Linked DNA regions of Daphnia pulex. Each later gene encodes a partner of the first gene's protein in a complex. Links are inferred from orthologs where the notes say so. Each region holds a gene or a part of one and is shown in the gene's direction. Other genes may lie near its edges.

Region 1 (4,138 bases):
TATTTTTTCCTTTATCCTGGTGAAGTTGAGAAATTTTGATAGCAAACCGGGGAAAAAACCAACTTTTTGTCAATTTTGATACTTCAAAGTACAAGTACATCTTGGCATTTTGCCCTGGAGACAGCGTTGTGACTGTTTTGTTTGCGTACTTTAGCTTGAGATATAGTAATGTTTTGCGAGTTATCCTTTACTCCCATCAATTGTTACTAGCCAATGCAGAGAGTAAATAACCCAAGATAATTACATTAAAGGCTTGACAAAGAGTTATTGTAGCCAGCAAATAAAAAACAAATCGACAAAGTTTTTGGCAATCATCCTTCTTCTATTCGTTCACAGGGACGATTTGAACAGAGAAAACAACTTCTTCTCATTAAAGGCTCTCAAAGCGATCGCCATCTACATGTTTAATTACAATAGAATAAGGCCTAAGGATTCGCGTTTCTTGCTTCAGCTTACGTGCCGCGTCATCTTTCGTTGATGACGTCCTGCAGTCCAAATGACACAGATAAATTGGTTTGAAATAAGTAAAATTTTATATCTTTTATCTGGTGTTTTATAATGCTACTAATAATTTCCTTTTAATTTATTCTTATTTGAGATGATCAAAGGCGAAATAGGATTTTAAAAAGTGCCACAAACGGCGGTTCCCTGCAGTAAAGAATCGATATCTCTAATCCTCTATGCCTTTTCCTGGTGCACTTCAGGAAGTAGACATAAAATCAGAGCTCGTAAGCAAACAGAGGTAGTTCAAATATAGAGACTAGAACAAGGTTATGAAATCTCGGTAGATAGTGCAGTCGATACTGTAGTTGTAATATGGCAGGCAATACCTGCCGATTTTCATAGGAAATCAAATGATAAAAGTAATACGAATGGAAGTTGAAAACATTCGAGTATTTGAATGCGCTTAAATATTGTTTAGTAGTGAAATGAGTAGCATTGGAATGCTATTGAAAATATTGAGTTCAAAAAGGCTACTTATTGTCGATTACATTAAACATGAGAAATGTCTTAAAATTAGGTAGTTTTTATATGGGAATTTTATCTTTATTAAACTCGGTGCAGTCCCGCGTTAGATGATTTTTCAAAAAAGGACTCTCTTTTGTAGAACACCATTTTTATTGATCCGTCGACTCGCCATCTAGGGGATGATAATCGAGTAACATTTTTGTATGAAAACGTCAAAACGGTAATCTCAGTCAAAACATATTCTTTGAACAGATAAATTATTTGATTATCACCGATTACTTATTAGTTAAACTTGAATGGTTTGACATTTACTTCTTTCCAGAATTTCCGCTTTCCGGGATTCGGAAAAAAAAATCAAGTTGATTTTAGAATGGCAACATTGCAATTTACAAACTTGGCAACGCAACCAAGTTTTGAAGCGTCGTCTGATCGTTTCGAAAACACGACTATTTTTATGTTTCTTACTTTGTAAAAAAACCACTGAAATGGAAATATTTGATTTTGAGAAAACTCGGTGTTCGTTTCTGGTACAGTAAAAAAATCTATCAATGAGCCATATTTGAAATAAATTGAAAAATCTTATGTCTTCTGTGTTTGGTTTCTGTAGGATTCCATTTCTGAAGCTCTTAAACTGGGTGGTCCACCCACTATCAGTGAATTACTTTCAGTTAACAATACAGCTCATCTTGGGTAAATTTAATCAAAGCAGAAAGTATTTACATATTATTGTAATTAAACATATTTATTGTAGGGAAGCTGATAAAAAAGCTGTATGGGATCAGGCGTTTAGAGACAGATTTTTGAGTGATTCCTCAAACTTTTCCATACCATTGTTTGAAAAGTTGTTGCAGTTGAGTCTGGATTGTGCAGTAGCTCTAGTATGTTCTCCAACACTGCCTGTGATTTTGCTCACAGATGCTTTTGACATCCTGTCTCTGGAAAAATGTGAGGAAATTTTCTACATGGTTGAAATGAAAGTAGCGATTTGGAAACAAGAGCTTTTCTTCAATCAGTGTAAAAATACCTTACTTCGCCTTTGCAATGGTATGTAAAGACATTTTTCCAAAATTCTAATAATGTATGACACAAATATTTATGTAACTGGATGCATCTAATTCTGTATTGATATGAATTCAATCCATTACTCTTATTTCAATGTATACCACTCTGCTAAATTCATTTACAGTGTTTCGCTTTATGTGAGTTGTGTTGCTGAAATGAATTTTATATGTATATTTTTTTTCAGATCTGCTGAGGCGCTTGTCCCGAAGCCAGAACACGGTTTTCTGTGGTCGAATTCTTCTATTTCTTGCAAAATTTTTCCCATTCTCTGAACGATCCGGACTTAACGTAGTAAGCGAATTTAATTTGGATAATTTGACGACATTTGGAGCTAAAGATGAAAGCTACGCTGCTGATATATCTGCTAATTCTGAAAAGCACAAGGATGCAATGGAAGTAGAAGAAAGGTATATATATTTGATTGACAAGTTATTGCAATATTTTTCTAAATTTTCTTGTTTTGTAGTTTGAGCTCCGACTACAATCTGTACAAAAAATTTTGGTCCCTACAAGATTTCTTTCGAAACCCTAATCAGTGCTATACGAAAATCCCGTGGAAAACGTTTTGTTTGGTAGCTAAAACATCAAGTATTTCAAGTTAAAATTTTCCATCTAACAGAAAAACAATTATTCTTTAGCATACTAGTGATGTTTTGTCTGCATTTTCTACTATCAAACTGGATGAGCGGAGAAACCGCTCTAAATGGGATGAGGCAGATGTGGCATTAAACATCGATATGAATGAAACCAGCATGAATGGTGGAAATGTCCAACAATATTTCGCCAAATATTTGACGAGTCAAAATCTTCTCGAACTTCAGCTCGGTGACTCCAACTTCAGACGTTACATTCTGCTGCAGTTTCTGATTATGTTCCAATATCTGGATTCACCTGTCAAGTTTAAACAGTTAGTTTCAATAAGTTTCATTAGTTAGACTATTTCAACCGCTTGAATTGCTTCTATTTATAGCGAAACTCACAAGCTCAACGAAGAACAAACTACGTGGGTTTCCGAGGCTATCGATCAAGTCTATCGGTTATTGAAAGATACACCTCCAGATGGCGCTTCTTTCGTCCAATCTATTCGACACATACTAAAGGTATACTGAGTTGTATAAAAGTAGTTTTAAAAAATATCATCCATCGGTGTTTGTTGGATGTAGCGGGAAGAATTATGGAGCAACTGGAAGAACGATGGCTGCCCGGAATTCCGGCCCAGCATAACCAGCTCAACCACTGATAATGATACTATAAAAGATGGTACCAATGGAGAAAAAAAGACGATCGTAGTTGGCCGACCAAGACGGCTCAAAAGAAGTCTTGGAGATCAGATTCGAGAAGCTTCAAAAAGAAATAAGTGCATTATTGGAAAGTAGGTAAATTATGAAATTATTTGAAAACATTGAATTACAGCTTTTTCTCTTTAGCGCTGAGATGAATCGTTTGTGGAATCTATGTCCTGATAACATGGCTGCCTGTCGATCTAAAGATCGAGATTTTCTACCTACATTAGAAAACTATTTTGAGGAAGCCATTGAGCAACTGGATCCTTCAGTGGAAAGCCAGTACAAGTAAAAATTTGCACTTTAAAGCTTACATTTTTCCGAAAATGTTTTAACTGAATGAGCGATTTTCGTGTTTCCAGGCGAGTTAGTGAGGCTAATTTTGGGTGGCGTGCTTTGCGGCTTTTGGCTAGACGAAGTTTACATTTCTTCACTCATGGTAATACTCCTATCACTCGGCTGCCAGATTACTTGGAAACGCACGTTCGCAAACTGGCCAAGGACATGCAGGTAGAGTAAAATCAGATGAATATCACGGTTCCCATTCTGCAATACAGGGAAAAGTCAGGGATTTAGGTTCTCATTTGGGAATATATATATATATTTTTTTTTAATATTTTGAGGTATTTTGAATTTTGTTATCGAGACTCATAACTTTTGCACGGGTTTTGCTGTTAAACAAAGATTTTGAAATAGTTGATCCAGAAGAAATACAGACGAGTTTGTTAGGTGTCAGGTAATTTTTCACATTCATTTGTCTGGAAATCCCTGGATAATCTTGATATATTACTGGTTTTGTAGTTGGCTTATTCAAATAATATGAT
Region 2 (3,605 bases), on another chromosome or scaffold:
GCCTATTGTAATAGAAACTCTCCTATATATATTATATACTTAATGTTACAACACACACAGCAGAGCTGCCCTGCTGTATTTATATATATATATATCCGCGTTGTAAATCACCGGGATATATATAACGGGCCAGCGGGTCCAATCTCCATAAAGTGTCGAGGCACACCAGCAACAAAAAAGCGTATCATCGGAATCGTATTACCCTATAGACGTTTTCATTTGAAGGGGAGAAGGAAGAGTTTTAAATAAAATAGAAGGAAAAAAAACCCTTTTTTTTCCTTTATTTCTTATATATTTTTATTTTACTACTCTTTGGGTATAGGCCAACGAGACGAGTCCAGTGACCAGCCAAAAGGTCCAGGGAAAGAGAGAGAAAAAGAATCTTTTTGGGCAAAACGAAACGAGACGTTCGCAGATTTACGACTGCGATATGTTATTACGCACACACGGGACCGATTGGCTATCAAAATAGAAGAAGAAGAAGAAGAAGTTCTTTTGGTGTGTGTAATGATGGAGAGAGCAGCCAAAGAAAAAGGAGGTCCAGTAGGAGCATCAGCAGCAGCCCAGGCCAGGCCAGGCCACAAGGCGCGCTTGGACGCCCAGTCGCTTTTATCGTCAGTTAACGGGCAAGAAATTTGCTTATTTTATGGCCGTCTTCTTTTTCTTTTCTCTCCTAGAAGAAGAAGAAGAGGGGGACTCGTAAATTTCCCTTTTTTTTCTCCTTACTACCCCCGCTCTCTTCTTCCATCGACTATACAGCTGTAAATTCTTGTAAAGTCGATGCTAACTCGTTAGTCGTTAGCGTTATATAGAAGCCGTTCTGGTTGTAGTTGTTGTAGATGTCTTATGTGCTGTGTGCCGGCGCTGTGGGTCCAGCATGCACTGGCAGAGAGAGACTACGACTTTTTGTTGCTTTATATTACCCCGATGCCCAAACACGGATCATTTGATGATTGCGCGCTGTGAAAGAAAGAAAAAAAGAACAAAATATAAGAAAACTGAAATCTATATAGTCGTAGTTTTTGAAGAAACGGGCATAGCTGCTGCTGCTGCTGCCCATCCCAGTTGATTTGGACTCGGTTCTTTTGGCTTTGGCGCATATTATTGCCGTGTAGATATATATATATTTATCGGACGTGTAATAACATTCAAAATGGCGCAAGCTCCACAGCTATAGTTTATATGTGTAGCTGGGACTTGGGAGAGAGAGTATAATATTCATGCAGCTAGATCTCGTCTGATAGAGGCTGGACGCCCTTCGCTTGTTGAGTTCATTGTGTGTGTGTGTGTGTGTACTAGTCACGCTTGATTACGGTGTGTGTCCCGTGTTTGGTAACAAAAGCATTTCCACCTATCCGCCCACCCTACGCCTTTTTTATTTTATTTTTGTTATTTTGGGCCAGCCAGTCGATAAACGTATCGTTTAACGTCCGACTAATCAGAGCCAATTGAGGAGACGACATTACCACCACGCATTCCTTGCCCGACCCCTTTTTTCTTTTATTAGTGAGTTAGGAATTTCAAATTTCGCGCTCCAACTGCCATCTGGCGGATGAAGAAGAGACTTGGCATTGGAAATGGCGGGACGACCGGCTTCGCGTTAGTTCGTCTGCACACACTGTGTTTTGTTGACACGCGAGTAAAGGTATATAAACCGCTTTTTTTTCCCGAAATTATAAGAAGATGGCAGTCGCCGAATTGGAAGAGCTGAAAAATCATTTTAAAACGCACACTCGAACGAGGGAAGTCTCTGCACATTCGGCCAAGGTTCACACGGTTGATTGGAATTGCGATGGAAGACGGTTAGCGTCGGGTTCCTTTGACAAGACGGTGTGCATTTTTACTATGGAAAGCGACAGACTGGTTAGTATTAGTCCCGGCTTATCAATCATGCAGCAATTATAATGGAGCTTGAGGCATTCTGTTTCAGGTTAAGGAGCAAACGTTTGTGGGACACAATGACAGTGTCGATCAGCTATGTTGGCACGAAACCAATCCTGATTTGCTCAGCACCGCCAGTGGAGACAAAACCATGAGAGTTTGGGATGCAAGAGTTAAAAAGAGTGTCGCCACAGTAAACACCAAGGGTACAATTAATTACGAAATTATGCTTAAACATTCAATCCTTCATTAATGTGATTTGACAGGAGAAAATATCAACATCACGTGGTCACCTGATGGAAATTCCATTGCAGTGGGAAATAAGGAAGACCTTGTTACTTTTATTGATGCCAGGAATTTTAAGATTAAAATAGAACATCCGTTCAAGTTTGAAGTCAACGAAATAGAATGGAACAAGGCTAGCAATCTTTTCTTTTTGACTAGTGGGCAAGGCTGCATCCACATATTAGAGTAATGATGAATTTTCTTCCCCCTGCTTTCAATCTAGCATGACGCTATCAATTCTCTTGTATCTAGTTACCCAGAGCTTACGACCGTTCACGTCACACAGGCTCACCCCGCCAACTGCATTTGCATCGAATTCGACCCCACTGGACGGTACTTTGCCACTGGGTCGGCCGACGCCCTAGTCTCTCTGTGGGATGCCGATGAAATTGCTTGTTTGCGCACTTTCTCCAAGTAACATTAATGCCAATAATAACGTGCCGTTTTCTATTGAGGTTATTCAATTACTGACTGGGTGTTTCCCCTTTAGGTTGGATTGGCCAGTTCGGACATTGAGTTTCAGTCACGATGGGTCCATGTTGGCGTCCGGGTCAGAGGACTTGCTGATCGACGTCAGCCACGTAGGTACAGGCGAGCGCGTTATCAGCATTCCAGTTGACACGCCAACCTTCACAGTCGCCTGGCATCCACGCTCTCACCTGCTGGCCTACGCCTGTGACGATAAAGACGACGGAAACAGAGACGCCGGAACTGTGAAGCTCTTTGGTCTCTCTAACGAGTGATGGGCCCATACGAATCAAAACTAGGAGGTCTCGTGTTTTATACAGAATCCAGCTTTTTTTTTTTTATTTTTTCACTTGCAGATTTTCTTGTTTACTCTTGTCAAGAACTATTTGCCAAGCTTACAAACTTCAACTGTGTTGAGAGAGATACAAGTAAAATGGATCTCAGATCAGAGATCTTTTCCAGAAAACTGAATTGTTCCAGGACACATTTTCCCTTTTTTTTAACGTTCAAACATAATTAATTACTCAATAATAATTTTCGTTATTACTAGATCCCATATTTGTTAAAAGGTGATGACCGTTCGGCACAAATTTTTAGTCAATAATGAAAAAAACAGGGCGTTAACGTTTAAAGAAATACGACGCTTTTATGCAAGCAGTCCATCTAGGTAAGACTTATTCCTATCCTTATTCTATTACTAAAGGCAAATTAATTTAAGTTGTCGTGATAATAAGCATATTTCGTAGAAACAGATAGATTGATAGTTTGTGTTACATCATACGTGCCGTTGATTATGTACAAGGCTAAAATGTCGTTTGATATTTCGTAACGGTAGTTGGTAAACACTAAACACACACACCCATATATAGGCAGCAAAGCGGCACATAGACGAATGTATCGTTTTGCTCGAGTAGATTCATGTTCATTGTTCTCCGCAGCTAGAACGTGAAATACTCGGAATGCTTCTCGTG
Region 3 (3,179 bases), on another chromosome or scaffold:
ACCAATCGCTTACAAGTTGATGAATGATGATCGCTGTAGTGTTGCGTGTAACGTGTATTTATCGGGGAAAAAACAAAAACAATTCCCGATAAGCTAAAAAGAGAAAATTTGACGCCATTTCAGAATGGGCTTAAAAATTGGGTCCCAAGAATAGTGAAAAAACATAAGAAAATCATTGGGCATCACTGTATATCCTTTATTACAACAGTATCCCGGGACCAGACAAATCGACTACCGTCGTGCCGTTTAACCCCCCCCCCCCAATCCCTTATTGGAAACGTGTAAAACCATAATTGTCCTCAGCAGTAAATGATATATATAGTTAAGTTGTGCGTGCCTTGAAAAAAGAAAAACAGAAATCGATTGCCTCGCACAAGTTGGATATTGCCACAGCAATTGGTGTTCTCCTTTTACCCACCTTTTACTCCTTGCCGGAATATAGCCACGTTTCTGCGAATTGGTTGTTTGTTTTTGTTTTTTTGTTTTTTTTTGTTAAAAAAGAAAGAAAAAGACGCGAAAAGACCATTGTTTTTTTCTTCCTTTGAGATGTGTCGCTCGCTACGTAAACATTGCCTACTGTCCGAAGCTGAGCGTCGTCGTGAAAGTGCTTTTTGCGCGCACGTATTTTCATGTCAAAGCGAAATACACGGCTTGAGCATTTGTCTCATTCATTATATAACTATTGCAGCTTGAACTGTTTGCTTGTCTTAAAACACGTTACTTTTTGTCACTTTCTTGTTCTTTGAGCGGGAAAAGAATCAAAAATTCAAAATTCACTACGATGTTACGATGAAATTTAAAATCATTGATTTACAATACACACACTAGTTAGTTAAGCCAATCAGTTTTACTTGGTTTATCACAAGATATTTTATGAAGTTTTTATCAAGCTCTTTAAATTAAAAAAAAAAAATTACTTTGACAATGAGTTTGATCATTTGCGATTACAGAAATAACGTAGTTGCAATGTTTTATGCGTAGCCTTTTTGTCCGAGAAACCCATCGCTTAAAATTAATTTCTCACTATTTTTTTTCAAAATCCTACCAGAGTTATCCTACGTGGCTGATTACTTTTTCGAGGGTTTTCTTTCTCATTGTTGGCTAGTAACACACTAACATGGCAACATGACTCGGACAAACTTTTTGCATTGACGATAGGTGACACTACTTTAGTACAGGATGCGCCCGATAGAGATCACTAGTTTAGAAGCCAGCAAAAGCATACGCAATTTCTCCTCTGAAACAATACACTGGCATTCAAAAGTCGAATTACTTTCAAGTTACCGCGTTGCGCGTTCCAATTGTAATTCATTGAAAGTTTGAGACGCCGGTACAGACAAACGTCATCATTATCATCACAATCATGGACATCTCTAAATTAAAAGTAACCCGCTTAACTTTATATTTGAGTGAAACTTGTCAATATTTCCAACTTAGAATCCTGATTGAGTTTGTCAAATCAAATGTCTATTATGTTTTTGAACTAGTGATAGGCCTACTGTGTGCATTTCATCTTGACTGTTGTTTTCATGCTAGGTTGTGGACCTTAAAAAAGAGTTAAAAACACGAGGCCTCAGCACCATTGGCACTAAAAATGAATTGATGGAAAGACTGCAAGATGCTGTGCAAGGTAAACTTTTATCATTTTGATTATTAAACTGTTTCCATGTTTATGTTCAAGCTTTTTTCCGTGGATGTTAAGATGACGATACTGGAGATAATGGCGCCTTAGACAATGATGACCTTTTGGATGAGGAGGCAGTTTTAGCAGTAAGAACATTGGTTTTATACAATGTGATAAACTTATGCAATTTTATTTTTGGTATAGGATGAAGAAGCTATTTTAGAGGAAGGAAATGCAAATTTGATCGCCCAAGAAGATGATGCAGTTCTTTTAACACCTACTGCATTGAGTGCCCCCAAAGTTACAGTTGAAAAGTTAGTTACTCTGTTTGTTTGGAAAATAATTGCCTCAAGATTAATGATGAAATGAATAATATTTCAGGACTGTTCAGGACTCGAAGAATGAAATAGTTTCTCCCCATAAAAAAATCATCTTGAACAGAAAGGTGGTAACTCCTCCATCAGATTCTGGCACAGTTTCACAGGAAAATGACGACCACCTTAAATATGATGCCAATAAAGGTGATGAATCTGACTCAAAGGAAGAAAAGAAGGTGATTAAACTTGGTTCCTTATCTGCCGAAGAAAGAGCCAAACTAAGAGCACAGAAATTTGGTGTTCCTATTCCCGATTCTGTGAAGAAAGCTGTTCGAGCAGAAAGATTTGGCGGTACAAATAGCACAGAATCAAACACATCAAAACCTCAGGTATTTTCGATTGATCAGCTCATCGTTCTTCGTGTTTTCATGTAGTGAATTTTTATTTAAGGTTCCTGATAATGACAAACTTCTGAAAAGGCAAGCTCGCTTTGGCGTCGTTTCTAATTCTAATTCCGAAGTTGATGAGAAGAAACAGAAGCGAGCAGAGAGATTCGGAACTACGAGCACTGCGGTCGGCAGTTCTGACGAACAGAAGCGCAAACGTGCTGAACGTTTCGGACTTGCCTGAAATGTTCGTTTTAAAGTTTATTAATTGACGTACAGTTAAATGAAACAAAGACTTGGTTCGATCACAAAATTTTTAGTTTTTTAAAATTAAATGTGACCTGATTTCTTATCCCGATAAAAAAAAAAATACTAATTTGGTGTATACTTGAAACACATTTTCTCATGGGTCCGAGTTAGGTTGGTCGGCGGAGTTGTTTTGTTTCTAGTTTGTAATTGAAATAACCTGATATGTTGGTGCGCAATTTCACTTGATTTTATAAAGAAAAGAGCAGCATGAAACAAAGAGATGAAATTTAGTGAGGGAGTTCTAGGCTAGTGGCAAGTCGAAGGGAGTAGCGGTTTAGGTTAATGTAGAAAATTCAAGTTGGAAGGGAAATAATCGTGCAAAGGTAATAAGCAACCCGCCACTAATAAAGTGTGGGTTCAAAACCCTCACTATGTAGTGTAGGACGCTTTTTTAGAAATCTGGAAAGAGACAGCATGGTCCTATACCATGAGGGACAGGAACAGTAAGTAAGTCCCCTGTACTACAAAAGCATATTACAACTCAAATGCTGCAATAATAGGCTATAATATTTTTTTCTCTACGCGATTTTACTAGATATTCGG
Region 4 (2,831 bases), on another chromosome or scaffold:
TATAAGGCAATTTACTCACTTAATGGACTATCTCTGCCTAATCTATCAGCCCAAACAGACCAAGGCTGGCCATGAAGACTTGTTGGACTGTCATCGTTGGACGCCATCTTTGTTAACAGAAAATTTTTTCTTAATTTCTCCTCTCCGAGACTCCGTCTTCTTTCCTCACCTGCAACAGCGTTGCAACTATAGTGAAAGCAGCTCGGCAGCTACCACTGCCCTTGATGCCTTGCCTCCTCTAATTACTCTATGGCATTAACACCCATTGGACTATTTCAAAATTACCTTTAATATAGTACTTGTATATTTTTCCTAGAATTAAAAAATGCGTTGCGTTTCTTTGCCACTTGAAGACCTTAATGTGTAAGCGTACTAAAGTTGTTGATTCTATTCGTTGGCAATTTATGAAATTTTATGATGATTTAATGATGAAATTATCTTCTAGCGAAACGTTCTAGCAATAATTTAAATCCTCAATCGTCCGTCTATTTTTTTTTTAATTTTGGCAAAAGATTTTATGCATTGCGGAACTCAAAAAGTACATTTTTCTTTGCGCTAAGTATCTTTTTACAATTTTCACACATGGACTGCAACAAGTATGACTATGAGAACAAGCTGCACATAATCATAATGACATCAACTGATAAACACATATGTGAAAATTCCCCATTGAGGTACCAAATCTCTCTCAACTCAGTTATTTTATATTACCAACCAATCAACCATCTGACATCTTGACAAATACAACCATTAATTGACATGCACCTTTTATACTTACAAATAAATGTTGTTTGTAAGTATCTTGCACCCAAAATTATTTTTTCACTGTCAGTTACACACCTGTTTAAAATGAATCTGTCAATCTTGATCACCAATCTCAATTTTCAGGACAATAAAAACAGGTTTTCCTAGAATGTAAGGCAACAGTTTAATTAAAAAGAAGAGATTGACGTTAATCTGGAAACGAGAAAAACAACACTCCAGATCCAGCATTTCATTGGATTCTTTCCTTGACATCACCTGATTGATTCTAAACCGTTCAATGGTTTCCCAAGTATATTGCTGATCTGCTGGACTAGCTCTCTTTCGGTTTTGCTAATGTTTATACAGGCATGCAAGTTTAACCCTAAACAAAATAGATACCTAATCAATCGGATGATTTTTTAAAAAGCCATGTCTCCTTCCTTTCATTTGAGGGGCGTGTCGTCTGCTGGCGGATTTAAAAAACAAAACAAAAGACGAGCGAACTACGCTTACGGCAGACGAAAATATTTTTTCATTTTTCAGTACTTTCCGGCGTTTCCGCAGCGACATTTCTCCTAGGTTTGTCATCTCATTCTTTCGCCCGGTTTGACATCTCAATATTCTCAAAGCTTTACCAGTTAAATTGTATTATTATTGGTCTTATTTTGATCCCAATCATTATTCACAAATGGGAGATGGTAATTTGACTTGTTAGTAATATTATTTCGGTTAATTTTCATCTTGTACTTCGTTATGTAGAAGAGATCATCCGAAGGAGGCTGTTGTTTGATGGCGAAGGAACTGGTGATGAAAGAAGACTTAATGTATTGCTTAAAGGTTTCCTAGCTTGGTGCAACTCTACAGATAGTGTTGAAGAAACGTAAATTAATCTTTGTATAAAATTCTTCTATACTCTATATGTGATGTATTTTTATTTGTTTTACAGACAAGCATCCTACGCTAGAATGATTGGTCAGATTGCCCAATGTGAATTTGCTGCCACAAAATCCTTGAGGTGCTGTGAAATGAACACTGCAGAACAGCAGCACTATGACGACCTCTACAACCAGATTGAAGAAGGAATTGTGTCAGCTAAAAAAGACATTGAAGCAACCAAGAAGGAGTTGCAAGAAGCAAGACAGATTCGCAGGAATAAAATGGAATATGATGCTTTGGCTGCCATTATTCAAACACAGCCTGATCGAAAGAGCAACCAAGAGAAATTATCCCTATTGCGACAGGAACTGGAAGCTTCAGAATGTGAATGTCAAAAACTGGAGGCCAAATTAGAACAAAGACGCAAACAATTTCACTTACTCATTTCAACTATCCAAGGATTACAGCAACTTCTTAACGATGATGAAGCATCCTAATAATTGTTCATTTTGTATGCATCCCTTTTTTCTATTTTTGAATAATAATGCTAACAAATAAAAATCATTTGAAACACCAAAAAAGCTATGTATGAATAAACTATCCAAACGGTACATATACGACTTGGAATGCCATAGAAGAATGTTTCAAAAAACACCACCAATTCTTCTCAACTATCCATAGACCTCTGGTAAGGAATGGGTATAGGAATGAGTGACTTAAAAAAAGGGCGTTTACAACGCAACAAGTTTTTTCGCGGCTTCGGCAATAGCCTTGGCGCCGATTCCAAAATGTTCTAGGAGAACCTCTGGAGGACCGGAGCGGGGAACTTCGCGAACTGCCAAAATCTTGACGATAATATTTCGTTGTTCGGCTAGAGTTGAAGCAACAGCCTCACCCAATCCACCTTCTGGGTAATGGTCTTCAACGGTCAAAACCCGGCCGTTGCAACGAGTGGCTTCCTTCAACAGCAAATCGTGATCAATGGGTTTGATGGTAAATGGATCGATGACAGCAGCCTTGATGCCGGCTTCCATCAGCATGTCGGACGCCTTCAGCGCTTCGTGGAGTGTAACGCCGGCGCCAACGATAACCAAATCGTCTTGATCGTGACTACGAACAACGTGACCCTTTCCAGCAGAGAAAACTTGTTCGTTCTCGTAGATGACGGCTGTGTTGGGGCGAGATGTACGAATGAAGCAAATTCCTTTGGT

The links. The genes of interacting proteins can lie anywhere in the genome.
Region 2: THO complex subunit 1-like (region 1) and THO complex subunit 3-like share a complex: the UniProt entries of both Homo sapiens proteins name them as parts of the transcription/export (TREX) complex. The link is inferred for Daphnia pulex from reciprocal best matches to the Homo sapiens genes THOC1 and THOC3.
Region 3: THO complex subunit 1-like (region 1) and SAP domain-containing ribonucleoprotein-like share a complex: the UniProt entries of both Homo sapiens proteins name them as parts of the transcription/export (TREX) complex. The link is inferred for Daphnia pulex from reciprocal best matches to the Homo sapiens genes THOC1 and SARNP.
Region 4: the proteins of THO complex subunit 1-like (region 1) and THO complex subunit 7 homolog are in contact, whole or in part, in a cryo-EM structure (PDB 7APK), measured with the Homo sapiens proteins. The link is inferred for Daphnia pulex from reciprocal best matches to the Homo sapiens genes THOC1 and THOC7. Residues at the interface, in NP_005122.2 of Homo sapiens: Leu10, Arg14, Glu46, Gln53, Arg56, Glu60, Ile63, Ile64, Asp99, Asp102, Cys103, Leu104, Pro105, Arg146, Gln151; in NP_079351.2 of Homo sapiens: Tyr47, Gln51, Leu54, Ser55, Ser58, Gln59, Phe62, Gly65, Lys66, Leu69, Val70, Met73, Arg76, Glu77, Asn80, Ile84, Ile88.

Annotation. Positions count from the first base shown.
Region 1 is NC_060026.1:6,262,967-6,267,104, reverse strand, and holds the start of THO complex subunit 1-like, read left to right. Parts: upstream 1-1,338; 5' UTR 1,339-1,454; coding exon 1,455-1,496; intron 1,497-1,576; coding exon 1,577-1,659; intron 1,660-1,720; coding exon 1,721-2,013; intron 2,014-2,215; coding exon 2,216-2,438; intron 2,439-2,497; coding exon 2,498-2,603; intron 2,604-2,669; coding exon 2,670-2,938; intron 2,939-3,001; coding exon 3,002-3,131; intron 3,132-3,194; coding exon 3,195-3,403; intron 3,404-3,458; coding exon 3,459-3,602; intron 3,603-3,676; coding exon 3,677-3,824; intron 3,825-4,138. UniProt on the Homo sapiens protein: Component of the THO subcomplex of the TREX complex which is thought to couple mRNA transcription, processing and nuclear export, and which specifically associates with spliced mRNA and not with unspliced pre-mRNA.
Region 2 is NC_060028.1:7,657,440-7,661,044, reverse strand, and holds THO complex subunit 3-like, read left to right. Parts: upstream 1-1,229; 5' UTR 1,230-1,683; coding exon 1,684-1,863; intron 1,864-1,930; coding exon 1,931-2,087; intron 2,088-2,147; coding exon 2,148-2,352; intron 2,353-2,418; coding exon 2,419-2,580; intron 2,581-2,656; coding exon 2,657-2,909; 3' UTR 2,910-3,105; downstream 3,106-3,605. UniProt on the Homo sapiens protein: Component of the THO subcomplex of the TREX complex which is thought to couple mRNA transcription, processing and nuclear export, and which specifically associates with spliced mRNA and not with unspliced pre-mRNA.
Region 3 is NC_060024.1:915,590-918,768, reverse strand, and holds SAP domain-containing ribonucleoprotein-like, read left to right. Parts: upstream 1-1,226; 5' UTR 1,227-1,363; coding exon 1,364-1,384; intron 1,385-1,536; coding exon 1,537-1,630; intron 1,631-1,702; coding exon 1,703-1,770; intron 1,771-1,828; coding exon 1,829-1,938; intron 1,939-2,005; coding exon 2,006-2,330; intron 2,331-2,391; coding exon 2,392-2,571; 3' UTR 2,572-2,679; downstream 2,680-3,179. UniProt on the Homo sapiens protein: Binds both single-stranded and double-stranded DNA with higher affinity for the single-stranded form. Specifically binds to scaffold/matrix attachment region DNA. Also binds single-stranded RNA. Enhances RNA unwinding activity of DDX39A.
Region 4 is NC_060023.1:12,053,787-12,056,617, reverse strand, and holds THO complex subunit 7 homolog, read left to right. Parts: upstream 1-1,285; 5' UTR 1,286-1,432; coding exon 1,433-1,442; intron 1,443-1,503; coding exon 1,504-1,624; intron 1,625-1,690; coding exon 1,691-2,117; 3' UTR 2,118-2,331; downstream 2,332-2,831. Other genes in the region: ataxin-7-like protein 1, read right to left, coding at 20-107; transketolase-like, read right to left, coding at 2,352-2,831. UniProt on the Homo sapiens protein: Component of the THO subcomplex of the TREX complex which is thought to couple mRNA transcription, processing and nuclear export, and which specifically associates with spliced mRNA and not with unspliced pre-mRNA.